3 linked regions of the Saccharomyces cerevisiae S288C genome follow. Changing the gene in region 3 together with the main gene of any one other region gives a genetic interaction. Each region holds a gene or a part of one and is shown on either strand. Other genes may lie near its edges. The genes, in order: AZF1, PRP21 and GPP1.

Region 1 (5,268 bases), on a different chromosome or scaffold from region 3:
TAAGCTTATCATATGTGCAGACACAATTATTATAGATAAGAGTGGGAGAATCTACGAGAAGCCTAAAACAAAAGAGGTCCAAAAGAAGTTTTTAATGAAGTTTTGCTATGAAGATGATGAACCAGTTAACGTTGTCACCGCTGTGACTTTAATTAAATGGTACGGCAGAGAAAACTTTGAATTGGTACCATTCCGAGATGAAACCAAGGTATACTTTGATAACAAAATACCTTTGAGAATATTGGAAGAATATGTAGAAAGCGGAGATGGGCTGGAGGTTGGCGGTGGATTTAAAATACAAGGGCAAGGTGCTATTCTAATTGAAAAAATTGAAGGTGATTACTATAACGTAGTTGGTTTACCGCTCAATAAAACGTTCAAAGGACTCTATGCTGAGGCTAATTCCATATAACCTTCGTTTAGGTTTTCTTTGGTGTTGCTCAGTTAACTATGTTAATCTTTGCAACACCAGAAGAATGAGTGGAACGGATATTAAAGGCCACATTGGTGAATAGATACATGCGCTAAATAACACGGCTATTAACATTCTACGAGACAGTTTTTCGATTGATGGTAAAGAAAGTTTAAAGCAATACGCATTTTGAATTTCACGCTTTCGCGCACATCTTCTATTTTTTTCACCTTCAAAAAGGCCCTTTCTCTTTGTCTGTTTATATTATGATTATATTAAATATAAGTATCTTAAAAACAATAATATCGTCAAGTTATTTAGTCGAGAGTTTGACACTGTTACTATCGTTGCTTTTATTGGTGAACAAGTATCTGTAAGTGATGAATTTTTCCAGCATTTTCAAATCTATTTCGAATTTCCAGTTCCCATACACCATAGAGGAAACTGCAATCACTGAAACCGCCCTTTGGCAATGTTTCGATGGTACAAGGAAGGCAGATTCCTTGCCAGTAACAGTTTTTAAGGCAAAAAGATCTCCAGAAAATGAATCTTTAATTTTAAATGCTGTACACAAGAGCAAAATTTTGAAGATTCCAGGACTTTGTACGGTGCTGGAGACATTTGATTCCGACCCCCAATCCACATTTATTGTTACCGAACGAGTAGTTCCATTTCCTTGGGATAATCTAGGCTCTTTATCTCAAAACAAATTTGGTGTTGAATTAGGAATATCACAATTATTGGCAACTTTAGGATTTTTAAAAAACTTTGTCCTTGGTACGCTTTCTAAAGATTCTGTTTTTATCAATATTAAGGGAGAGTGGGTACTATTTGGGCTAGAACTTTGTTCAAGCAAAGAAGGATTAAGTGCGTTTGAATTTGCCAGTAGAGCGAGGTCATATTACAACATAATTGGCTCACAGTTGCCCTGTGAAGATCCGAATACAATTGATTCAATGGGGTTAGGATTGTTGATAAAGAGCCTTATGGCTCCTTCTTGTCTGCCCAAAGATTGGATTGTCAATGTAAATATGATTTCAGATGGAAAGATAACAATCGAAAACTTCAGAAAAAGGCTAGAAAATACAGAAACTTGGCGTTCTAATCCTTTGATAAACTTTTATCAAGAATTGAGGGAGTTGCATATAAAGGACCCACAGGGAAAATTGGTTGTGATGTCAAACTTGGAAAATTTGTATTTAGAGTCAAGAGAGATTTTCCGTAATTTAACGCCTGGAATGATAGAAAATTTTATTATTCCAGAGCTTTGTGAAATTATAAAATTATTAATGACACAAAGCATCAGTAGTGCTGCCAGCCCTATAGGCATGAACTTCAACGCATCACATAAACTAGTACCATTCTTAGCGATTGTTTTAGACCTAACTTCTGAAACGAACACCTTTCCAGTTGGTTTCAACGACCTTATCACCCAAAGTTTTAAACTGCCAGATAGGCAAGTAAGATTTCTTTTACTAATATACCTACCCAAATTAATAGGTCCATTGAGCAAATCAGAGATCTCCAGTAGGATATATCCACATTTTATCCAAGGTCTGACCGACTCTGATGCCACTCTTAGATTACAAACACTGAAGACAATTCCATGCATTGTGTCATGTTTAACAGAGAGACAACTGAATAATGAGCTACTGAGGTTTCTCGCAAAAACACAGGTTGATTCTGACGTTGAAATCCGAACATGGACAGTCATCATAATAAGTAAAATCTCAACCATATTATCAACGTCAGTTGGTAATCGCTCGAATATTTTAGCTACGGCGTTCACAAAATCTTTGAAAGATCCTCAAGTAAAACCAAGATTGGCTGCTCTTTATGGGCTTGAGAAGTCGATTGAGCTGTTTGATGTGAACACAATCGCCAACAAAATTTTAACAGTCATTGCCCCTGGTTTATTAGATAAAAGTCCCATAGTAAGAGGCAGAGCCAAAATCCTGTTCGAAGAATATCTGGAAAAATTGGAAAAAGAAGCCCAACTTATTCAAACAAACGATAGTACTGCAGATTCGGAAGATGTGAAAGATATTGATTTTGAGAATTACGGTTGTGATGAAGAGGATATGAATAAAGAAGACAATTTGTTAGCCGCACAATTTTTAAATAATTTACGTTTAAATTCTCCCTCAGCAACAACACCAAGTAACATTACCGAGAGCGAAATTGATTCCGCCCAGGATGGAAGTGGATGGGACGACCTCAGCGATACCGATGGCTTTATTACAAATGGTACCACAGAATCCTTCGATGAAACAACAAACCCTGTAACAACCGCAAGCACCCCAAAATTATTCGGAAAACCTATTAAAATTAATAAAAGTTGGAATGATGAGTTGAATGATGATGGCTGGATTCAAGATGAAAGCGGCCCATCAAAGGTGCCTCAAAAACACACAAGGCCACAAAATTCAACGTTGGCAAAATCCATCGCTCCTAGCTCAAGGCTTTCTATCAAGAAGAAGAAAACAACGATCCTAGCACCAAGAAACATTGCTAGTAACTCTACTGTTACCACCAAATCGTCACTGTCCAATAAAACTGCAAGAAGTAAGCCTATAAGTAGTATCCGCGGCTCGGTAACCAAGAAAGGAAATGTTGACGGCTGGGATGATGATGGGGATTCAGACTCCTGGGATACGAATTGGTGATCCCAAGACTTATATAGCCCTACGTATTGTAGAAGGATATATTCAGTGTTAATCGTTATTTAGAAACATTACGCCCGTGCCCCGCGATTTCGCTTCTTTGAGAAGTGGAGGAAAAGAAGGGTCCCTTTAATTCCAGTAGAAATGAAGCATAAGCAAGAAGAGTCATCAGAAAAGGGAACCTTGTAGTACTATAGATGGTCCCACAGAGAAATTAATTGGGACAAAAACAGCTACACAAGCGATATACTTCAAAAGATTCAGATATTGAAAAATTACCAGCCATGCCTCCTCCAACTGCACAGTTCATGGGCCCTACGCAGGCGGGACAAAATGAAAGCCAAAATCAATCATCAGGCGAAGCTGGGGAGCAAAACCAGGAGCATGGGCAAGGCCCTACTCCTATTCTTAATCAAAGTCAACCGGCTTCTTCTCAACCGCAACATCAACAACAAAGGAATGAGTCGATTTCATATTATACAAATTTCAACCAGCCACGATATTCCACGGACGCCTCTATCAACTCATTCTTGAACATATCTGATAACGTACCAGTAACAAGTACAGGAGGACCTAGTTCTGGCGGCGCCTATTCCAATCTTCCACGATTATCCACTTCAAGTACACATCAACCGCCAGACCTGTCGCAAATCGGACGCGGCTTTTCCATTGTAAACAACCTCTTCCCACAACAACAGCAGCTTCAAAATCAGCATCGGCAACAGCAGCAACAACAACAACAGCAGTCGCACCAGCAGCCTCCCTTCAAGACCCCTTCATTTTCGACGGGATTAACGGGAAGTTCTTCTCAATATCAATTTTTACCAAGAAATGATAATACTTCGCAGCCACCTTCAAAAAGAAACTCTGTTTATCTTGGACCTAATGATGGGCCTGATTTTGAATTTTTCAGTATGCAGCAGTCACAGCAACCGCAGTTCCAGCCTAGCAGTAGAAGAGAATCAAACTCTATGAGACCTCCACTGTTAATACCTGCAGCAACTACTAAAAGCCAGTCCAATGGCACCAATAATAGTGGGAATATGAACACAAATGCAGATTATGAATCATTTTTTAATACTGGTACAAACAACAGTAATTCTAATCAGAACCCGTACTTTTTGAGTTCAAGAAATAATTCTTTGAAGTTTAATCCTGAAGATTTCGATTTTCAATTCAAAAGGCGGAATTCTTTTGTTAGAGGTACTTTGGACCATAGCAGCCAAAATGCGTTTATACCTGAATCAAGATTAAACTCACTATCCGTTAACAACAAAGCTAATGGTGATCCTGTCGCGGATAATGTTACCAATAACATGAAAGGAAAAAGTAATGAAGTTGACAATGATGATGGCAATGACAGTAGCAATAACAATAACAACAACAACAACAACAACAACAATGAAAACAACAATGACAACAATAATGATAATAACGACAATAGTATTAATTCCGCCACCAGTACTAATATCCCAAACCAAGAGGACCATAGCCTTGCTTCTACCGATACCACAAGCAATAGTAGGAAAGATCTAAAAGAAATAGAACAAAGACTTCGAAAACATTTGAATGATGAGGATAATTACTCTAGTGCTATATCAAGACCATTGGATAAAAACGACGTAATTGAAGGCAGTGAGGGATTGAACAAACATATAGACGAGTCTGGTATGCAACCTAATATTATCAAGAAAAGGAAAAAGGATGATTCTACTGTGTACGTCAAGAATGAGATGCCCCGTACTGATCCCCCGATGAGTAAAGACAATTCTACTTCTGCTGAAGGAGCAGCAATGGCAAACTTTTCTGGTAAAGAACCTCCTATACCTGACATAAGTTCAGTAAGTGATGATGCTACTAACCTGATAGGTGCAACAAAGGTCGACCAACTAATGTTGATTATTCAAGCAAGAAAGAAAGGTTTCACGGAGAAAGTAAATACCACTCAAGATGGAGACTTACTGTTTAACCAAACGATGGACATTTTACCACCTAAAAGCGAACTAGTAGGTGGTGTGGAGAAACCAAAAGGCACACAAAATACACGAGCAGTTAAAAAACATGAATGTCCCTATTGTCATCGGCTTTTTTCGCAAGCGACTCATCTGGAGGTTCACGTTCGTTCTCATATAGGGTACAAACCATTCGTTTGTGATTATTGTGGCAAACGTTTTACTCAGGGTGGGAACTTAA
Region 2 (11,004 bases), on a different chromosome or scaffold from region 3:
AAATATAAAATAGAAGCTTCTATGGCCAAGTTGGTAAGGCGCCACACTAGTAATGTGGAGATCATCGGTTCAAATCCGATTGGAAGCATATATTTGATTTTTTAGCAATTAATTTTTTTTTTTTTTTTTTTTTCACGCTCTTGAGTCATCGCGAGTAAAATTCCACTGGAAAATTTTTTCAATATATACAAAGTTCCACAATATCATACAGCTCTCACATCGTAGATTATGTCAATAGATGGTATGGCATCAAACATGTATATAAACTAAAATATTTTCATCTTTTCGTATTATTCGATTTGCGCACTTGCAAAAATAAGAATTTTCGACTTTCTTTAAACATAAAACTCTAAGAGCAATAAGCAAGAGATTCGATGCTATCTTCAGCTAATAGGTTTTATATAAAGAGGCATTTGGCAACACATGCCAATATGTTCCCCTCTGTATCTAAAAATTTTCAAACAAAAGTGCCACCTTATGCAAAACTTTTGACCAACCTAGACAAGATTAAACAAATAACAAACAATGCTCCATTGACACTAGCAGAAAAAATTTTATACTCGCATCTTTGCGATCCTGAAGAATCGATTACTTCTTCTGATCTGTCCACCATCCGTGGTAATAAATACTTGAAGCTAAACCCAGACCGTGTAGCTATGCAGGACGCTTCTGCCCAAATGGCGCTTCTACAATTCATGACCACCGGTCTAAATCAAACATCTGTCCCAGCATCCATACATTGTGATCATTTAATTGTAGGTAAGGACGGTGAAACTAAAGATTTACCCTCTTCCATAGCTACCAACCAAGAAGTTTTCGATTTCTTGGAGAGTTGCGCAAAGAGATATGGAATTCAATTCTGGGGCCCAGGTTCTGGTATCATTCACCAGATTGTTTTGGAAAATTTCTCAGCTCCAGGTCTAATGATGCTAGGTACTGATTCCCATACACCAAATGCAGGCGGTCTGGGAGCTATTGCCATCGGGGTTGGTGGTGCGGATGCAGTTGATGCCCTCACAGGCACTCCATGGGAATTAAAAGCACCAAAAATTTTAGGTGTTAAATTGACCGGAAAGTTAAACGGATGGTCCACTCCTAAAGATGTAATCACAAAGCTCGCTGGTTTACTAACTGTCAGAGGTGGTACTGGTTATATCGTCGAGTACTTCGGCGAAGGTGTATCCACTCTATCTTGCACAGGTATGGCAACCATCTGTAATATGGGAGCTGAAATCGGTGCTACAACGTCAACTTTCCCTTACCAAGAAGCTCACAAGCGTTATTTGCAAGCAACTAATAGAGCAGAGGTCGCTGAAGCAGCTGATGTTGCTTTAAACAAGTTTAACTTCTTAAGAGCCGACAAAGATGCTCAATACGATAAAGTTATTGAAATTGACTTATCCGCAATTGAACCTCACGTTAATGGTCCATTTACACCAGACCTTTCAACCCCAATATCTCAATATGCCGAAAAAAGTTTGAAGGAAAACTGGCCCCAAAAAGTTAGCGCTGGTTTGATTGGATCATGTACCAATTCATCTTATCAAGACATGAGTCGTGTTGTCGACTTGGTCAAGCAAGCTTCCAAAGCCGGCTTGAAACCACGTATCCCCTTCTTTGTCACCCCTGGTTCAGAACAAATTAGAGCTACCTTGGAAAGAGATGGAATCATCGATATTTTCCAAGAAAATGGTGCCAAAGTTTTAGCAAATGCATGCGGCCCTTGTATCGGACAATGGAATAGGGAAGATGTCTCGAAAACATCAAAAGAAACGAACACTATTTTTACATCATTCAATAGAAATTTCAGAGCTAGAAACGATGGTAATAGGAATACAATGAATTTCTTAACATCCCCAGAAATAGTAACAGCGATGAGTTATTCTGGAGATGCTCAGTTCAATCCGCTAACTGACTCAATTAAATTGCCAAATGGGAAGGATTTCAAATTCCAACCACCAAAGGGTGATGAGTTACCAAAAAGAGGATTTGAACACGGTAGAGACAAATTTTATCCTGAAATGGATCCAAAGCCAGATAGCAATGTAGAGATTAAGGTAGACCCTAATTCTGATCGTTTGCAATTATTAGAGCCATTCAAACCTTGGAACGGGAAGGAATTGAAGACAAACGTGCTTTTGAAAGTTGAAGGTAAATGTACAACAGATCATATTTCCGCTGCGGGCGTCTGGTTGAAATATAAAGGCCATCTAGAAAACATTTCTTACAATACATTGATTGGTGCACAAAACAAAGAAACCGGTGAAGTCAACAAGGCTTATGACCTTGACGGAACTGAATATGATATTCCTGGTTTGATGATGAAATGGAAATCAGACGGTAGACCATGGACCGTGATAGCGGAACATAACTATGGTGAAGGTTCCGCAAGAGAGCATGCTGCTTTGTCACCAAGATTTTTAGGCGGAGAGATTCTTTTAGTTAAGTCTTTTGCAAGAATTCATGAGACAAACTTGAAGAAACAAGGTGTGTTGCCATTGACTTTTGCCAACGAATCTGACTATGATAAAATATCAAGCGGAGATGTTTTAGAAACGTTGAACCTAGTTGACATGATTGCTAAGGATGGTAATAACGGTGGTGAAATTGATGTTAAAATTACTAAACCAAACGGTGAATCGTTCACCATCAAGGCAAAACATACTATGTCTAAAGATCAAATCGATTTTTTCAAAGCTGGTTCAGCAATCAATTATATTGGTAATATACGAAGAAACGAATAAATTCTGAAGAGATATTAGCTAAAAATTAAGAGTCCGATTTAATAGTCATAAGCTAGTTTACACAATTCTATAGACTCTGCATATAGACGGTGCAAATAACCTACCTATTTATTTATTTATTTACTATAAAAAACGTAATATTGTTTGATATATAATATTATACACGAGATCTCGACTGCTTCAACTACGGCTTAACTCAAGGGTGGGGGGTATTTTGTTGTCGTATATGCAATATGTATGTGTTAAAAAGATACAATTATGTAAGTTACCACCTTTGTTTCATTTCATTCATTACTTGTAAACCTTGTAAACGTTCTTCGTACAATGCAGCTAGCCTGCTAACCTTGTTGCTTGCTTTAATATCTGAATATCCCTTTTGAGAGAATTTATCTGCTGTCTTTGAAGTAGTTTCATTTTTCTTCTTCTTTTCTTGTAGTTCTTTGTCGAACTTCTTAATCTTCGCGTTTTGGACGAGGGTTAAACTTTCAAACTGTTGTACGAATATATCTGTTTCCACAGAATTTTTATCCTTTGCTGGCTCGTCCTTAACCATTTCTTTGATATTATCTGATATCGTTAAATCGGTGCTGCTGTTACTCAATGGAAGCGAGTCTGCTGATGGAGTCTTCGTCGGTGAGGATAATGTATCTGTAGAAGAAGAAGCTAATGCCAAATCTGTATTAGAATTGGAAGTTAGAGACAGTTGTGGTCGTGTAACTGCCTTAATAGGAAGTGGAGGTTTGGCATTGAATGATGGGGATGAAACATTTCTGCTTGAAGACTTAGGTTTCAAGACTGGTGTATTTTGTAATGCGACAGGTGTGTACGTTGGAGACGTAACAGATCTTTGTGGACTAGGGCTTCGACTTCTAGGAAGGGTTAAGCAGCCTAGTTCACTGTATCTGGTTGGCGACGACTTCCTTGGCTTAGGCAAAACAGGGATAGTAGAAGACGATGATACGGATGAAGGAGGTGATGATATTTCCTTCGCGATTTCGGGGAAAAAGTCCAGTAAATTTTTAATATATCTCGACCCAATAGCTAAACGATCATTAGTCATCATGGAAAGTTTTTCCTTACATAACGCCGGAGTTAAAGCTTTACTTAGGGTCCTTGAATCATGTTTAGTCGATTCACCATGCGCTATGATCCTATTAAAAAAAGGAATTATGACCATAAAGAGGTCCTGGTATTGGTTGAATTTAATAATTTTGCGGAATGTTTCACTTGTGAACTTTAGATCATCAACAATTGGTAACGGAATTAATTCAATTGGGATTAGAGGTTTGGCTTTATTCTTAATGAAGTAATTCAACCACACGGATGCCAAAGAATAAATATCCCATTGAGATAAATCAATGTAGTTGTTTCTTTTGATAATATCCAAAAAAATGTTTACCTTTTTATAGTTTCCCGGCTTCTGGAATATCAATTCACACAACAGAGCGTCATTCTGTAATTTCTTGAAAATTTTATCGAATACTAACTGCCTATACTGTCTTATTGCCAGAGGGGTCAATCTGTTATAATATTCCTCCGGGACATTTATATGTTCGCGTATCTGGTAATCATATAAGTACACGTTCAACGATATTCTAAGTCGCGTAATATCTATTAGCTCGGATAAAGAAGTCAGGTCCAAGACATGAACTAAACTTGGAAAATCATGCTGACTATCTTTTGAGTCCAAGAAGTTAAAGTTCATAGCGTTTGAAATTACTTGATAGACCGACCTAACGAAGAATGACTCATGAACAATAAAAATCTTTTGTAAATAGAACTTGGTCTCTTTGGGTAACTTTGCAAACATTTTAATACCGTAAACCCAGCTTATTTTTCTCTGGGAAAACCCAGATGAAAAAATCACCAGTGAATATGGTGCCTGTGGCAATTTCATTACCAATCGATCCATGAGGGCATTAATAAGCAAGTCATAAACTTGCTTATCGCCAATTTCATCAGATGCTGGCAAATAAGTCGAATCAAAGACATAAATTGCGTGACCAGAGTTAGGATCAACTGAATAAGATCTAAAAAATATGTTATTAACGTTGATATCTATCATCCTGGCCTTCTTTCACGCTACCAATAGTATTATCCAGTAGGGCCATATCCTCGAGAATTTCACTTTCTATATACAAAATAACATCAACATGAAAAAACGCCAAAATACGTACGCCGTTAATAGTGATACATGTGCTCAATTACGGTGCATCATCAACCTTTACATACTTCTAGCTAACTTTGATTTTCATGAGGCTTATTTTTTACTTTTCTTTAACCTTGTCTCTCCCACAGCTCTAATTTTACGCTTTTTGCCCTTACTATCTCCTCCTTTTTGCTTACCTTGGTCGGATACTATCTTTTCTTCTTCATTTGTCGGCTTGATACTATCGAATAACTTAATACCAGTTTGTACTCTTCGCAGCCTCATCTGTTCTAAATCTAGAGAGCCTTCGAAGATTTCTGTGTCTTCAGGGATAGAAAATTTTGCCACTTGAGTAAATTTATCCCATGGAATGGCTGCAAATTGTATTTTGCACAACTCTACGAGCTTATCATGTTCCCGGTCTTTATCTTTCTCAAATTCCCAATACTGTGTTCTCTCAAAACAATTATCTAAAATGGTTCTCTTACTTTTCTTGATTTCTTGACCAGTAAAAGAATATACTCGCTTGTACTGGGCGACAAAATCAGTGAATGTCTTATGTAGCGGATGTGAGCTGTTCATAAAGTTTAATCTGGCTTCACCATCCTTTGAAATCATCTGTTCAACAATACTTTTATCCTTTGCATAGTAGCGTGCTGTCAATTTGATTACTTCCATGTCTCTTCGGGATATTCCAGTATCATATTGAGAGAACAGAAAATCCGGCGGCCTTGCTATCTCTCGCTCACTCTTTCTGTCATTATCTTCACCGCTGACAGTGTCTGTTGGCTCATTCATGAGTTTGGTGTAGTATTCATGGAGTGGGTCATCTTTCTTGATGAATGAGAATCTCTCATCTTCTAGCAGTTTGTTCTCAAACTCAACACCATGCTGCTTTATGTAATTTACTGTGGTTTTAATGTCCTCTTTCAGCTGGGTATCTTCTGGTTCCATTTATACAACTGCAAATTATTGCTGTTAGTTTTACGCTTTACCTTATTTCTTCCTGTATTTAAGTGTTTCAAGGCTAACTTTTGCCGAAATATTTCGTTGAAGGAAGGTTCTTATTTTATCAAAAAATGGTCAACAGACAAACAATAGAAAAACCAAAAGAAAACAAAAGCTTTTGAGGAAATCGGTAAAATGGATGATCTGCTAAAAGTTCCCGAGATTGTAACCAATATTGCCTCATATTTATCTACTGTAGATTATCTGAGTTTTCAACAAGTGAATAAACGGGTTTATGCAATCATTAACGGCAAAAATGATTCAAAGTATTGGTCATTGAAATTGACTAGAATGGGTCTCCAACAGGTGCATTCAAATGAAGAAGAAGAAATTACGTTGCTGGATGAAAATGATAATCAAAATTCCCTTCGCATCTTCGAAATATACAAATCTTTCACTGCTCAAAATTCTAAAAAAATCTTTGTGAAATTTTACCGTTGTTATAACTCATACGCTAGGAAGCTATATAATAATAATCTAGCAAATTTCTTTCCTACTTCATATTCCAACGATCCGTTGAAACAAACAAGAATTCTAAATTTTATCAAAAAGTACAATTTCTCGAATAAAAATGATATAGAAACATTTACTAGGATTGAAACTAATTTCAACATTCTTAGGGAAATCTTCATTAATTCTGTTCTCAAAGAGTCAGAATTGAATTACCAGTCTAATAATTTAGCTGCCGTCGCTCGTTTCATGAAAATTTTATTGATATCTAATGAGGAAAGCAATGCTATCGAATTTTTCAAGTCAAAGGCTGATTTGCCTCCCAGTTTAACGGTTTTGCCGTCTAATGATGAATTATTTTGGGCCGAACAACCAAGGGAAGAGGACAGCGGTGGGAGTACCGTGATATTTAATTCTAAAAATTTAGATACGTTTCTCAATCAGCTAAGGGATTTCCTCAACGAAAAGATTAAATTAGCGGACATTTTATTCAAAGATGAGTTCCCTGTAATATTACAGTTCATCGAGTCCTTTATCCAAGATATTTTATTAGATATTTTAAACAATATCTTATTAAGCTATAGTGAATTTTTAAAAGAAAATGGAAAGGATAGTAAAGCCAATTATGAATGCGTACCCGAACTTTATTTCACATTTATAAAAAAGTTTGATACTGAATTAAACGACTCAGTAAACGCAGGCGCAAATTTCCGTAAAGTTGTTCGTGACCTTTTAAACCTGTATCTCGAGCCCTTTGTTGTCAACTATATGAATCAGACAACTAGAGTATTTGAATCATTGATCAACTCACAATTAGCTAATTATGACACACAAGTTCAAGACAAGCAGCGTGAGCAAAACGCAAAAATTTATAACACTTTAAAAGATCAAACGGATGCTTCGAGTGCAAGTAACAATGAATTGCCGAATGACCTCTCAATAATTACTGAAACCTCCAAAACTGTCCCAGAAGCGGATTCAAAACCAAGTACGATCCATCAATCAGTTCATTCAACTGATATTTCTAATGATAAACTAGACTTTCTAAGTTCCTTCACCAAGATTTTCAAGTTCTCGAACAATGAAAATCAAAGGCTAAAGCAACAACTACAACTAGCCTACAACTTAAATTTAATTTCCAATAACTTGCAAAACATTAAATCGTTAATAAGTCTCGATTTATGTTACAAAATTTTACAGGAAACAAGCGAAAAGACGGATCAAATTTACAAATTTCATACGATTGAAAGTTTGCTACCATTGATCAAGCTACGCTGTCAAGAGATTTTCAAAATTTTAATTACACAATTGAATAAAAATCACGTTAAACCTGCATTTGAAAAGGCAATCCTGCTACTACAAAAATATAATCCTAACGAAATAGAACAAATAGAAATAAAATTCAATTCACTTTCGCCAGCCAATACTCAAGTCGAACCTTTAGTACAATTCACTGAACTTATCAATATAGGTGACATAATATTACAAATGATTTCCATTTTTTACAAGAACGAATTGATTCCCAAAAAAATTATCGATAAAAATAAAGATTTTCTTAATGATGTTATCCAATTAAAAAAAAATTTTGAGACTTCTATCGATGATTTTGTAGCCGAAGGTTTAAATATCGGTATAAACAAACTAATGGATGAAATCTCATTTGTATTCAAGACTCTTCAATTGCCTGACGATTATAATCCACCGCCACCCTCTAGGAATTCTCCAATAAGGGATATAAAGCCAACCAAATGTGCTATCAGGGTAGTCGAGTTACTTTCTAATCATTGCTTTCTACTGACTGGTGCCACAGACAAGGGTACTATTGACGTGTACCAACAAGAAATTGGCGAGAGATTCTTTAATGAAATCGTCAAACATCTGAAGAAGTGCTTCATATCTACGGAGGGCGCAATTTGGTTAATCTGCGATTTAAATTACTTTTACGATTTTATTGCTAACAAATTAAAACAAAAAAATGTTGTTCCCTATTTTGTTGGGCTTAAGTCTATTGGCCAGTTATACATCATTTCAGGCAAGGACTCGAAAGAGTTGGGAAAGCTTATTTCTGATCTTGGGAAATTCAATGGCATTTTTACGCAAGAGGAAATTTATGAATTTGTTCAGAGGAGAAGCGATTGGGTTCGTGTACGGAAAGACGTTGAAAAGGTAATGTACGGCCTAGGCATACGAGATTGCTGCATTATGTAAATTCCTATCAATGATTAATTATATTACTCTATATAGGTATGAAGTGCGGAAATAAAAGACTGTTCACATATTAGATTATTCAAGATTACGCGGGCTCTATTTTTCCCTGTTAGCCACACGCACACAAGGGGCATACAAATGTTCACTCCATTTATAAGAGGATTCCACACAAGATCATCGATAACATGGTTCAGTACGCTCCCTTTCTATTAGGAAAGTATGTTCATTCTTCATACGCTATTCTATTTTTTTTTTTTTCACACTTATTCTTTTACTAACGCATAGTTAACCATTTGCTGTTTCGAAGAGGCAACATCAAACAAGTCGATGTGCTCTTTCCCAAGCTGGTCTCTATTGCAGATTTTCTGATCCGTTATTGGCAATTATGGTAGGCTGTCTCAGCTACTATGTGTACGAAAGGAAAATGGGGCGTCCACAAGGTCATCATTTACACGAGCTCATAAAGAAGCGATGGGACGATCGCAAATAATAATCCGGCGTGAGGGGAGTATATATAAGTTTCTGGCGATATGTAAATACCATAATAATTAATCCTAGGATCTACCTTTATACGCATTTATCCTATAAAAACCCAATCTTTCAGATCCACAGTATTTTTATATGTGTGATTTCCTTGATTGTCTCAATTTAAAGAGTAATACATACAACTTAGACCAAAGAATTATTCAATAGATGACGCCGAAAGAATCTGGAAAGCCTATTTCGTGTGCAATGAAGAAGTTGAAAGGCAAGAGATCTAAGATTTTGGTTTTATCTAGAGATGCGGGCACCAACGAATTGAAGCCAACGAAAGGAAGAGCACATCGAGCTTGCATAGCTTGCAGAAAGAGGAAAGTACGATGTAGTGGTAATATACCATGTAGACTTTGCCAGACTAATAGTTACGAATGCAAATATGATCGCCCCCCACGGAACTCATCGGTATTTGATAGGGAAGTAAGCGATGATAGTTCCTTATATGCACAGAGAGCTTCCCACGAACGGGAAGATAGCAAGGGCCCTATAAGTTCCATTGATTACAAAAAGGTTGTAGAGACGATCTTTCCACCTGAAACACTCCGTCAAATACTTGCTTCTTCTTCTTTTAACAGCCAGAATTTTTTGGACACTATTAAAACGTGTCTACTTCAAGGACAATTAAATGTTAATCAGGTAATACGTCAAAGTCTACCAAAAGATACGCCTTGGCACATGCAAACAAGTGTTCCATTACCACCCAGAGAGATTGCCTTGAAATTTATTCAAAAGACCTGGGATTGTGCCTGTGTGCTATTTAGGTTCTATCACAGACCTACTATCATTTCTATCTTGGACTCGATATACGAAGCAGAAAAACATGGCAAGCAATATACTCCAGAACAAGTGAAAACACAACCTTTAATTTATTCTGTTTTAGCAGTCGGAGCCCTTTTTTCTAAGGAAGATCTCAGCAAGGATAGTAAAGCAACTAGGGAATTTTACACTGATGAAGGCTACAGATACTTTTTAGAGGCCAAAAACTCTTTGGACTTTTCTAATATTACTGACATCTATTCCATTCAAGCTATATTTATGATGACGATCTTTTTGCAATGTTCAGCAAACTTGAAGGCTTGCTATTCGTTCATTGGTATCGCTCTGCGTGCTGCGTTAAAGGAAGGTTTACACAGGCGGTCTTCCATAGTTGGTCCTACTCCGATTCAGGATGAGACAAAAAAAAGGCTCTTTTGGTCTGTGTACAAACTAGATCTGTACATGAATTGTATTCTTGGTTTTCCAAGCGGTATCGACGAATCTGATATCGACCAAGAGTTTCCTCTAGACGTCGACGATGAAAATATATCTACTATTGGAATAAAGTTTCAAGATTGGCGAACGATAAGTTCCTGTGGAATGAATAATAAGCATACAAAGCTTATTTTAATCATGTCTCGGATCTACAAGCTAATGTACTCTTTGAGAAGAAAACCATTAGAAGAGGATTCTAGGACGCAGATTGTATCGTTGAACGATCAATTAGATAATTGGTATGCCCAATTACCAGATATTTTGAAGGTTGACACAATACGGTATCGTCAAACGCAACCACCTCTAACTGTTTCCGCAAATGATACTAGTTCTCCATACACTAAACCTAAGAAATTATTATATCTGGACTTCCTTCTATCCAAAATCGTACTCTATAAACCATTCTACCACTATATTTCTATAGACCCGTTAGATATCCCAGAGTTCCAATTTCAAATTCACATGGCGGAAAACTGTATTGAAGTTGCCAAAAAAGTTATTCAATTATCTTATGAAATGATTACGCAAAACCTTTTGAGTGGTAGCTACTGGTTTTCCATTCATACAATCTTTTTTAGTGTTGCTTGCCTCAAATTTTATGTCTACCAAACAGAAAAGGGCCTGATACGAAATGGGAAGGTTGATTCGGATATTCAT
Region 3 (10,935 bases):
GGTAGGTTTTACCATATTGAAGAAATTCTGGTAGACAACTTTTTGCTATGAAAAGTGAGCAAATGCCTACAAAAAAGGATAATCTATAGGCATATATAGTATATTTTAGCAATTGTTCTTCATCAAAGTACATTGGACTGGTAGATTCTACGTTTTAAGCCAGATCGGTCCGCCGATAAACCTATTTATATTCCACATTTGGTATATTTTTACTTTTTCGAAACGTCCTTAATTCTCATTTTGGAAAAAAAAGAGAAAGCATAATACTGAATAGAACAAGGACCGAATTTCTCTTTACCGGTAGATTATGATTTATTTGGGCAAAAAGTTTTTTTTTTCATTCTATTGCAATAGCTATCATTTCAGGAGAAATGCTACTAATATGAAAAACCACTGATTTAAAAGGAATATTAAATTATTTAAATATAACCGATATGTACGCGTTACGTAAATCAGAAATTGATATGTATAATACGAGTAACGGTAAGGGAAGGGCATGAATAATATGCAGGACAGCATTCTACTGGTCGTTCCAGAATTTATATAACAAGTTTGCATATTTCTGCATTTCTTCGACTGAAACCAATAACTTGAAATCACATAGTATCAGGAATTGTAATTCTAAATGGTTTAACTCTTGCAAAGAAATACCTCCAACCTTGGCGTATCGAGAGTTACTGTAAAAAAAATCACTCAAGAACTTCGTGCAAATTGTGACACCTGTTATGAGCAATCTATGAATGTTCCCGGAGTCCATGACGAATAATTGCTTTGCGCAACCATTACGCTCAGAAGAATGCCCATAATTTTTGGAGATTCTATCGAAATATACAAGGAGAGAAAGAAAAATATCATTTGTGGTGGGACAGTACTTTTGAATTCTCTCTAAGTACTGAACAACAGCTATCTCTGGAACATTCTTTCCATAGAAAGCAAGGATTGGAGTTAAGAGTTCGTCTTCGGTCTCATCCGACACTTGTTGTGAGACATCTGTAGTTTCATCGTTTGCTGTTATAATTCTGTTGAGTAGCGCACTTATCATTAGTATGAGTTCATCTGTGGGAAAGTCTGCTATGTTTAAGATCTTTACATCAGTCTGTTCATTTGTCTCCTCGTCCAGGCTATGCGTTTTTGCTTCCGACTCTAAAGACTTCTTTACAGCTTGTACAGGAGAACAATCTAGTAAAGATTTCGAAGAGAAAGGGCTTTCCAAACTGGGGTTAGTAGATATTTTGGACAGCAAACTACTATTGTTACTTGAAAATGGATCGGTCTTGAAGCTGTGAGAATGTGGTCCGATTATTAGGTTATCTCTATTCCCCCCTGGTATATTTATTGGCGATGTTGTGGTTTTTTTTGATGGTGAACTTAGCTCCATATTTTTCTCTAGTGTAAGCAGTCGTTCGTTCTAGCTCGGTTTGCTTTAGTCTGATTACAGTAATTAATGTCTGTTAACTTTTGTTGTACTATTTTAAGAACCGTAGATGAATATATAGATATACTTTTTGTATATATAAAGGTTTGAGATGTTGAAGCCTGCGCTGCTATCCCCTGCTTTGTTTACACCGTTTTGGACCCATCGCAAGATACCGAGATTCCGAAACCGGCCTCAAAACTCCCAGAGATTAGGCGCGATAGATAGTAATACCTTAAGCCATAGTATGCCTATGGATGCAAAATGCAATGATCACTGTCCATGTTATACAATTAAAAGAGCCCGTAGAAAAGTGCACAGGCGGTGATCTTAGAAGACCAGTGCTGCTTATTGGATAAGTCTCTATCATTGAAGGACGTTATTCACTTTGCTCCTGTGTACGCTCTCATTTGCGGAGATGCGATTCCGCCTCTGTCGCTCATCCAGCGAAAAACACACCGTATGGATCCCCTGATATATATAAATACATATGACTAAATGGGTCTTACACATGCATAAGAATTAGGTTAGCTAGTAAATTGTGTGAGATTTACAGGTAAAAAGGACAACACATACACACAAATATATTACCAATAATGTTTTTAAGAAATTCCGTTTTGAGAACAGCTCCAGTCTTGAGGAGGGGTATAACAACATTGACCCCGGTCAGCACCAAGTTGGCCCCACCCGCTGCCGCCTCTTACTCCCAAGCTATGAAGGCCAACAATTTTGTGTACGTGTCTGGTCAAATCCCTTATACTCCAGATAACAAGCCTGTTCAAGGTTCTATCTCTGAGAAGGCCGAACAAGTTTTTCAAAACGTTAAGAATATCTTAGCAGAAAGTAATTCTTCTTTAGACAATATAGTCAAAGTCAACGTATTCTTGGCTGACATGAAAAACTTTGCCGAATTCAACTCTGTATACGCCAAACACTTCCACACCCATAAGCCTGCAAGATCCTGTGTTGGTGTTGCTTCCTTACCTTTGAATGTTGATTTAGAAATGGAAGTTATCGCTGTTGAAAAGAATTGAAGGATTGAAACTTCTTTACTGCCTTTTTTCCACTTGCGATACCGAGGAGTGTACATTTATAAACATTTTAGTAGCATTCTTTAGCGTATATAAGATTTTAACTAAGAAAAGAAACGAATTTACGGAGTTTCAGAATCAGTTTCTTGCCGTTGTAGAAAATGTGAGGGGAGTTTCCCTCTACTTGTATCAATGTTACAAGACAGGGGTAGAAACCTATTACGTGTTGGAACTTATTTTCTTGAACACTCTAATCATAAATTCTAAAAAACTGTGACTGTGTTTTCGTCACAACTTTGCGGTGTACAGATGTCGTCACATACCGTGTGTTGTTTGGGTGTTTTCCTTTCAGCTTTTTTTTTTTTGAATTTTTGAATTTTTACTTTCATTTGCTTTCGGAGGTCCCGCTTCCGACAATAGTCCGCTTCATTTGTCCCTTCCCATGAAAGTTCATTCCTTTGGGCAGAGAGACCGTCCTTCTGGGAGGAGATGGAATTGACGCCTGGGGGAGGAGCCAGTAACAATTCTAACTCTTCCTCTTCCTGTCAGTGGCCCCAGCACCCGTTCAGACGGTATGGTAACGGGCTCTCAGGAGCCGTTTCATCGCAGCTGGTGGGTAAGTTTGGAATGTTTCAATAGCATTCTACGTAAAAGTTGATGAACTTATTAGTTGTAAGTAGTAAATAACGGGTAGTACATAGTATTTGGCACTTGTTATATTCTTTTGATTCAATTTACTTTGATTGAAACTGAGAATAGATTAGCAACGAACAACCCTAAAAATGGCTCAACGTGTTACTTTCAGAAGAAGAAATCCATGTATGTTACTGAACTATTTTTTTGAGTTTTCATGAAAACTTATTATGAACTTATTATGAACTTATTTTGAACTTTCATTGTGGGAAAATGAGGTTAAAAGGCGAACGAGTGCTATTTAGAGAAGCGTACCACTTAGAAATAGGAAGAACCAGATCATCGATAGGGGAATCAACTATGCAAGAACTTTCAAATATATTGGCATGACATTAAAACATTAGACAGCATGAACGAACAGTATCCAGTAATGTGGACAGCAATAAGTTGACTTCAGTTTCTAAGTGGAAGACCTTGGTCGACCCAAATGGAAAATGAATTTTTCTCCGCTGTTGAAAGATTGAAATGAGATAATATTCATTCAGCAACGCCGAAATACTTTTCATATGGAGCAATCCCACTCAAGTTCTTAAATCATAGGATAATAAAGAAGTGATTACTAACATTAATGGGAAAATTTTCTCTTTACTACGTACAGACAACACCCGTTCTAACAAAATCAAGGTTGTTAAGACCCCAGGTGGTATCTTGCGTGCCCAACACGTTAAGAAGTTGGCTACTAGACCAAAGTGTGGTGACTGTGGTAGTGCTCTACAAGGTATTTCCACTTTGAGACCAAGACAATACGCTACTGTCTCCAAGACCCACAAGACTGTTTCCAGAGCTTACGGTGGTTCCAGATGTGCCAACTGTGTCAAGGAAAGAATCGTCAGAGCTTTCTTGATTGAAGAACAAAAGATTGTTAAGAAGGTCGTTAAGGAACAAACTGAGGCTGCTAAGAAGTCTGAAAAGAAGTCTAAGAAATAAATTTAAATAAGCATTCCTTTTATAATTACTCTAACTTCTCGTCGTACTAAAAAAAAACACTTTTATAGTAAGATATAAAACAAAAACGAAGATTGAATCTTCCTTTTTTATTTCTGTGTTAAATTCTCTAAACCAGCTTGATTTGCGCGAACCACCTGTCACGGCAGATCATCCGAAGACGACAAAGAAAAGGATGCATTACATCGGTTTAAATTTTTCTATTCGTATTTTATAAGTATTATATTATATTATTAAGTCATGCAGATATAAAATTATACAATTGGTCGGAAATGGAGGGAAATCATACATTTTTATTTTATTTTTAGCGTAGTAGTTTTATCAAAAAAATAAAAGAAAATTACCATTTCAACAAGTCATCCTTAGCGTATAAGTAGTCATCAAAGATCAATTCGACTTCATCGGTTTCAGCGTTGTATTCACCGACTCTGATAGATTCGTGGTTCTTGACAATGATGTCACAACCCTTTTCCTTCAAGAAGTCCAAATCGAAAGTGGTAGCAATACCAACGATTTTACAGCCAGCAGCCTTACCAGCAGCAATACCAGCTGGTGCGTCTTCAAAGACAACAACCTTAGATTTGGATGGGTCTTGTTCATTAATTGGGAAACCCAAACCGTTTCTACCCTTTAAGTATGGTTCTGGGTGAGGCTTACCTTGCTTGACATCATTGGCGGTGATGAAGTATTCTGGTCTCTTGATCTTCAAAATGTCGAACCATTTCTTGGCCATGTCACGGGTACCAGAGGTGGCGACAGCCCATTTTTCCTTTGGCAAGGCGTTCAAAGCATTACACAACTTGACAGCACCTGGAACTTCGATGGAGTGTTCACCGTACTTTTCTGGGATTTCACCTTCTAGCTTGTTAACGTATTCTTCATCAGCAAAGTCTGGAGCGAACTTGGCAATGGCATCGTAAGTTCTCCAACCGTGAGAGATGTGAATAACGTGTTCGGCATCGAAGTAAGGCTTGTCTTTACCGAAATCTCTCCAGAAAGCAGCAATGGCTGGTTGAGAGATGATGATGGTACCGTCAACATCGAATAGAGCGGCGTTGATTTTCAAAGATAAAGGTTTTGTGGTCAAAGGCATTGCGATGGTTTGTATATTTGCTTTTGTTGTTCTGATATATTTTAAAACATTGAAACGTTTCATAACAAGGAAACTTGGAAAGAAAAAAATGGCAATCAAGAGATACTTACGAAAGATTTATATACATTATCAATTGAACGAAAATGAACAAGACGACAATATGAACAAAAAGGAAAGAAAGTGATTAACAGAGTAAGAAAAGAAAAAAAAAGGAAAAAAGAAAAGAAAAAAAGAAAAGAGGAACTCACACATCATCAAAGGTCAAAATGGTCAAAATGGTCAAAATTAAAAGACACAAAGGAAAAGGTGAGTAAGGAACAATAAAAGCACATACCATCATCAAACAGCGTTAAAAAAATTATGTTAATGATGATGATCGCAAGAGTAACAGTGATAATGGTGATGATGATTATTCCCATAAAGAAAACCGGACAATGAGAATCCTGCAATTTACCAGGCGCACGCGGGTTCGTGTATGCGAGAAAATGATACGGATTTCCTGCTTGTCTCACTATTAACGCGTGGCGGGGTAAGACCCAAGGAAGACAGACAAAAAAAGCCTTCGGGGCCATGCCATGTCATTGCCGTGGACTGAGACAATTACAATATTGCTTTTGTTCTCTTTCTTTTGACCCTGTGACGTGTTTCGTAAGAATCCCACTTAAGAGATGAAAAAGAAACGTGGTGGTACTTCGCACCCAGACCATACGTCTTCCACTCTCTTGATGGGAGCGGCGAGCTTCCGCACCCACACATTCTAATTGCCGCGCCTTCCTCCCACCCGTACAGAGTGATATCCCTTGGTACGATTGACCAGGGTGTGTGGCGCAAGCAAATTTTCCGTTTTAGTTCAATGATGTCTTAATTGACACTGCGCTTGTTTTGAGCGATGGGTTCGCAGCCCTGGAAGACCCGCAAAAAATTAGGGGAATGGAATATATTCTCTACTCCATTTTTCAAATGTTACCTTTTGTTTGTGTGCATTGTATTATTCCATAGTCGTAATGTTGGCCTTCTTTCGTGCGCTTTCCTAAAGGTTTTTACGCTTGCTTAACTGTTAAGTTAACAAGACTTCCTCCCACACTTGTTTCTTTCATTTTTTTTTTTTTTTAGATTGGTCTTGGCCTCCAGTTCAGTTGGCTGATACACGAGAGTTTGCTGTCTCTCCTTACAATACGCTTGCTTTATAATGACTCTAGAACCACACTATAGTGCCAAGTCGGCTGCTTCAGCCAGTGCCTTTGTTGCCCGTTCTGCGACCGAAAGCTCAACAGCAAGCACAAAAGCTGCTCCTAGGAAAAAGACGTACTCGCAGTCAAATGGTATTCCCATAAGGATTGATAATCTCCCTCCGGGCAAGACTTGGGCCCAGGTAAAATATTTGATAGGCGGAATCATATACCATACCAATATTTTACAGGTGAAAATGCTGCCTCCAATGACTTCCATGGTTCCTCCTTTTATTACTTTTCAGAGTTGCATTGTCATTCTGAAGAACTCGATAGATAACGAGTCCCTGGAAAACTTACTACTTACTTTGAACACCTACCAATGGGATTATCATGATCTGTTCGTTTACCTGTTGCCGTACACTAATGATTCTCCTTCACTGCGATATCCAGAAATCAGTGATAGCAACAATGACGTCCGGAGTGCTCCCGATGAAACTAAAAGATCTATTTCTCCTCGATATGCAAGCCATGTTTCATCTGTGACACCGCAGCCACCATCCGCTTCTACCCCACCTTCTCAATTTTTCAGTTTTTCTCCTGAAGTGAGCCTTCGAAAGAATGAGAACATAACGCCATTGCCCACGCCTGTTCCCGTACCTGTTGGTGTGCCACCTCTTGCTCCCCCGCCTCATGGTCCATTTTCGACTTCGATGCTACCTATGTTGGGTGCTCCTCCGGGAACGGTACCTAATATGCAGATGCCCTATCAAACTACTCTACCTTCACCAACAGCTGCTGCTACTGCTGGTGGTCCACTTGCTTCCCCTACACACTATCCCCGTCGTCGGCATTTCTATCACCAGAACCAAAGCCAGTTTCAAAAATACATGCATAATAGCCCCAGGAATCCAGATACTGGCACAGGCCCTCGTCTTTCTCAGCAGCATCACCTCTCCTTAAGGAACAATAAGATAAATCCCTCTTATAACGAAATATCTGCCCTTTACAACTTGAACATGGCCTCAAATTCCAATAATAATGGTAATATTCCCACTACAAGTACGAATGGTGATGACCGTGCCCTCCAAGCAAAGAATGGTGGAACAATTACACCTTCACAAACTCAAATAAATCACAAAAGATTAAAGCATATCTTTAACGAGAAAAGCTTTAGAAAACAAATGACGAATAGAGGTATGTGGCAGCTGAAGATCATAAATTTCCCACCCTATATACCTATAGAATTCTTGGAGAAATTATCAGAGTCTGATTTCAATGAGTTAATGAACCAAGAGAAGTTCACAGTTATTGAAATTAAAGAGAAAGGACAATTGGAAAAATTTGGAAGGCTAAGATGGACAGTTCTAAAAGATTTTATAAAACTGAAATGCCCCAAGCTATTAAGACTACAGGAAAGACAGTTTCTACAGCAACAAAACGAAGCATCTTTACTCAATGAATCTATGGACGCTCTAAAGATATCAGAAAATGAGAACACCAACGGGAGTGCAAATAATAGCACATACACAAATGGCGGACCTCGAACATCTATCAATAATACAAGGGAATTCTATGTAGGGGTTTATGAAGATCATGAAGAAGCAACTCTACTGAGGTTTGAATTACCGGAAGATGAATTAGAGGAGTTTAATAGAAATTTGCCAACTACTTTTGCACAAAGTGGAAACGTCTCTGACTCCGAAGGTGATAGCAAGGCGAAATACTTTAAAGTTAGCACAATTGTGTATAATGCCATTGTTGGGTTCCACGATAAAGAGCTGTCTGATTTGACGTTCGAATCCTTACAAGACCAGGAATATTCACTGGGGTACAAAATTCATGTAATGGAACTGCCACCATTTGACGAGGATGAATTTGAAAATCAACGGCAGCAGTTCTAAGCATGGATTAAGAGGATATTATTATTTTATCTTACATAAATATGTACGCGAATTGAAAAAGAAAAAAATATTGTGTAGAATGTGTATTAGGCAGTTATGTATGTAGACAATTTTGTTTTGTATTTTTATCAAAGTAAAGGCTGGAAAACCGGCTGTGGTAAATTGCCATTTTGAAAAGAATTTTTGTTCTTTGTAACGTATGGCGCTGGCACAGACTCGTTGTGGTCATTATTATTTGTGTTGGAGGTGGAGGTGCCAGTGTTTAAAGTAGTGTTGCTATTTTCTTCATTCATTGGCGATTTAGAGATCCTATTAAGGATGTTATCAAAGGCAGTTAAGCTTGATTTTTTTGGATCATCTTTTTCTTGTGGTACCAATGGAATAGAAGGCATAGAGGGGTTTTCACCTATGCATGACATTTTGGGCAACGTAATGGGCACTGGTATTTTTGCATCTTGTAGTGGAATGGTGGAAATGTCCTTAATTACGAGATGAATCTCGCTCGTGGAAAAGGAATCAAATAACTTTGCCAAACTTTCATCGTTCAAGAGGTTATCGTTATGGAAAATACCAAAATTCTTGTTCTTGTTGATAATATTAAATAAATTTTTACAGTTTTCCAAAACTTCAGACACCGTGGGTGGTCCATTGCTCAACTGGTGGAAAGTAAAGGCTTGCTCGCGATCATTAAATCTAATGATCACTCTGCGATTAACATCTTTATTGGCCGATTGAGGCTTCATTGGTAGCGTAGTTAAAAGTGTAGCTCTATTCGATAGAGTGTTATTATTATTCAACATAACGTCACTTGAAACGACAGGAGGGCTTCTCTTAACCCTCTTGTTAGGTGAAGATGATGGTGGTTCTGACGCACAGGAACTAGCCAAAGGATACTGAACCATCACAATATGATGTATGATTTCACTTAAAGGGTAAAGCGTGGGGTCGAAGCCAAAATCCTTGACAATACCACCTATGACCAAATACAGTAGCCTTAGTTGTACCTGAGCCGCGGGGAAATGAGATAAGTTATGTCTTGTAGCGGCACCGAACAGTCTTTGAGACAACAAAGCCAGATTTTCAGGAGAGCACGTCTTGGCAGTGATATACTTCATTGAAGAAGAGACCAAGTTGGAGAAAAATCGTTCGATAACGAATGCAATAGACATTCGGATTGACATTTCACCCAAAATCTCCAGATTTGCGTATATATCAATGGATCCTGCAGCCTGCGAAATGTCCTGACAAGTTCTTGATCTTTGGATTTGTAGGAGTAACTTTTCCCTCAGGAAAAATGGCACGGTAGAATCTATCGGGATGTTTGTGGTAATGTTAGGTTGCTGGCTGAGTGAAGACGTAGCAAAATGTGACAGGTTTGGCCCAGTATATGGGTCCTTGAGAGCTTGTTCTGATAGGGGTACGACATTCGTAACAAGATCGTGCACTAGCATGGTGACTATATCGTTATACTTTTGTTGGGTCGAAGTAACCGATGGAGATGAGTCATTTTGGGTGCCCACGGTTGGAAAAATGGTTCCGTTATGACTCTGGTGACTCATGAGAGGCTGGAACTTGTTTGAAAACTGGAAATCTGCAGCATAATTAGAACTAGGCAGGAAGTCCGAATTGGAGCGCTGGTAGATCGACGGAGAGATCTCGTCGTCAGAAGTAGAATTTGACGAGATGCTGTTGTTGACATTGCCGCCACTGCCATTGGCTATGCTGAGAGCGTAGCGTTTTTTTGATCGTTTTCTATTCCTTCTCACTGATTGCACAGCAGCAGTGACTAACTTTTCGAATTCCTTAGAGCAGCTTACAGGGTATCCAAACTCCGTTCTTAATATTGTAGCAATCTGCTTTATGTTTTGATCTTGTTCGCTTGCCTTATATTGACTTAGTTGGAATTTGTCTATCAGCTCCAGCCTTCTGCTCGAAAACTGTTTCCATTTCTTTTCATCATTAAAATTGAGTAATTCTCTAATCTTATGAGTTGCTCCATTCCCAGAAAACTTATTTATTCTATATTGAGTGAATGTTGGAGGACCGTTCATATGTGTATAGGATATAAGCAACGAAGAAGAATAGGTAGAAAGAGAATAAAGAAGGTTTTAAAGCTATAACTAGTAGAAAAGAAAAATGTAGGAAGGGAATGCGGATGCGTTTATGCTAAGATGCGATGGGGACAATAGAAAAAGAAGAGAAAAAAAAGGAAGAGGAAGAGGTAGTGGTATAGAGAAAGAGAGAGAAAAAAAAAGGCTAGTAGTATTTGTATAGTAGGGAAAGGGCTAGATTAGAACTGAACCAAGCTGACCTGAATTGACTCAATAACACCATTCTCACCCACACAAGTACCGAAGATCCAAAAGGCAAGAATCATGGAAGAGAGCACATTGATTTATAGTAAAAAAAAAAAAAAGAGAAGACGACGGTAGAAAGATTTCAGGGAACATATGGCTTACACTTATGCTGAAGAAGTAAGAGGGAGAAGCGAAGCAAATATAATCTGTCACAATGCACAGTGCGCAAACGTAATCTGCCCACTCAGCTAATAGCTCCTGCCATGATTCTGCTGCGTAGTCTATATGAAAGGAAACGAAGGTCAGAGATGAAAAAGAGATAAAAAAGAAAAGAAACTTCTCCGAGGGGCGCAGAATTCAGGGCAAAACAACATGGAATCGATCAAAAG

What was found.
Region 1: mutations in GPP1 (region 3) and AZF1 together harm fitness more than expected from each alone (negative genetic interaction), as found in Saccharomyces cerevisiae (2 studies listed by BioGRID).
Region 2: mutations in GPP1 (region 3) and PRP21 together harm fitness more than expected from each alone (negative genetic interaction), as found in Saccharomyces cerevisiae (2 studies listed by BioGRID).

What each region holds. Positions count from the first base shown.
Region 1 is NC_001147.6:530,716-535,983, forward strand, and holds the start of AZF1 (Azf1p), read left to right. Parts: upstream 1-3,359; coding exon 3,360-5,268. Other genes in the region: YOR111W (nucleotide diphosphatase), read left to right, coding at 1-412; COPI-interacting protein CEX1, read left to right, coding at 793-3,078. UniProt on the Saccharomyces cerevisiae protein: Transcription factor involved in the diauxic shift. In the presence of glucose, activates carbon and energy metabolism genes, and in te presence of glycerol-lactate, activates genes needed for cell wall maintenance.
Region 2 is NC_001142.9:48,184-59,187, reverse strand, and holds PRP21 (Prp21p), read right to left. Parts: upstream 5,848-11,004; coding exon 5,005-5,847; downstream 1-5,004. Other genes in the region: aconitate hydratase ACO2, read left to right, coding at 375-2,744; ECM25 (Ecm25p), read right to left, coding at 3,010-4,809; RCY1 (Rcy1p), read left to right, coding at 6,037-8,559; NCE101 (Nce101p), read left to right, coding at 8,745-8,776, 8,920-9,049; YJL206C (uncharacterized protein), read left to right, coding at 9,253-11,004. UniProt on the Saccharomyces cerevisiae protein: mRNA splicing factors, PRP9, PRP11, and PRP21, are necessary for binding of the U2 snRNP to the pre-mRNA in an early step of spliceosome assembly.
Region 3 is NC_001141.2:249,356-260,290, reverse strand, and holds GPP1 (glycerol-1-phosphatase GPP1), read right to left. Parts: upstream 5,177-10,935; coding exon 4,424-5,176; downstream 1-4,423. Other genes in the region: DFG10 (putative polyprenol reductase), read right to left, coding at 1-133; PCL7 (Pcl7p), read right to left, coding at 521-1,378; isoleucine biosynthesis protein MMF1, read left to right, coding at 2,011-2,448; 60S ribosomal protein eL34 RPL34B, read left to right, coding at 3,228-3,264, 3,737-4,065; YIL054W (uncharacterized protein), read right to left, coding at 5,431-5,748; YIL055C (uncharacterized protein), read left to right, coding at 6,366-8,249; VHR1 (Vhr1p), read right to left, coding at 8,378-10,300. UniProt on the Saccharomyces cerevisiae protein: Major isoform of glycerol-1-phosphate phosphohydrolase involved in glycerol biosynthesis. Plays a role in osmoadaptation and required for adaptation to anaerobic conditions.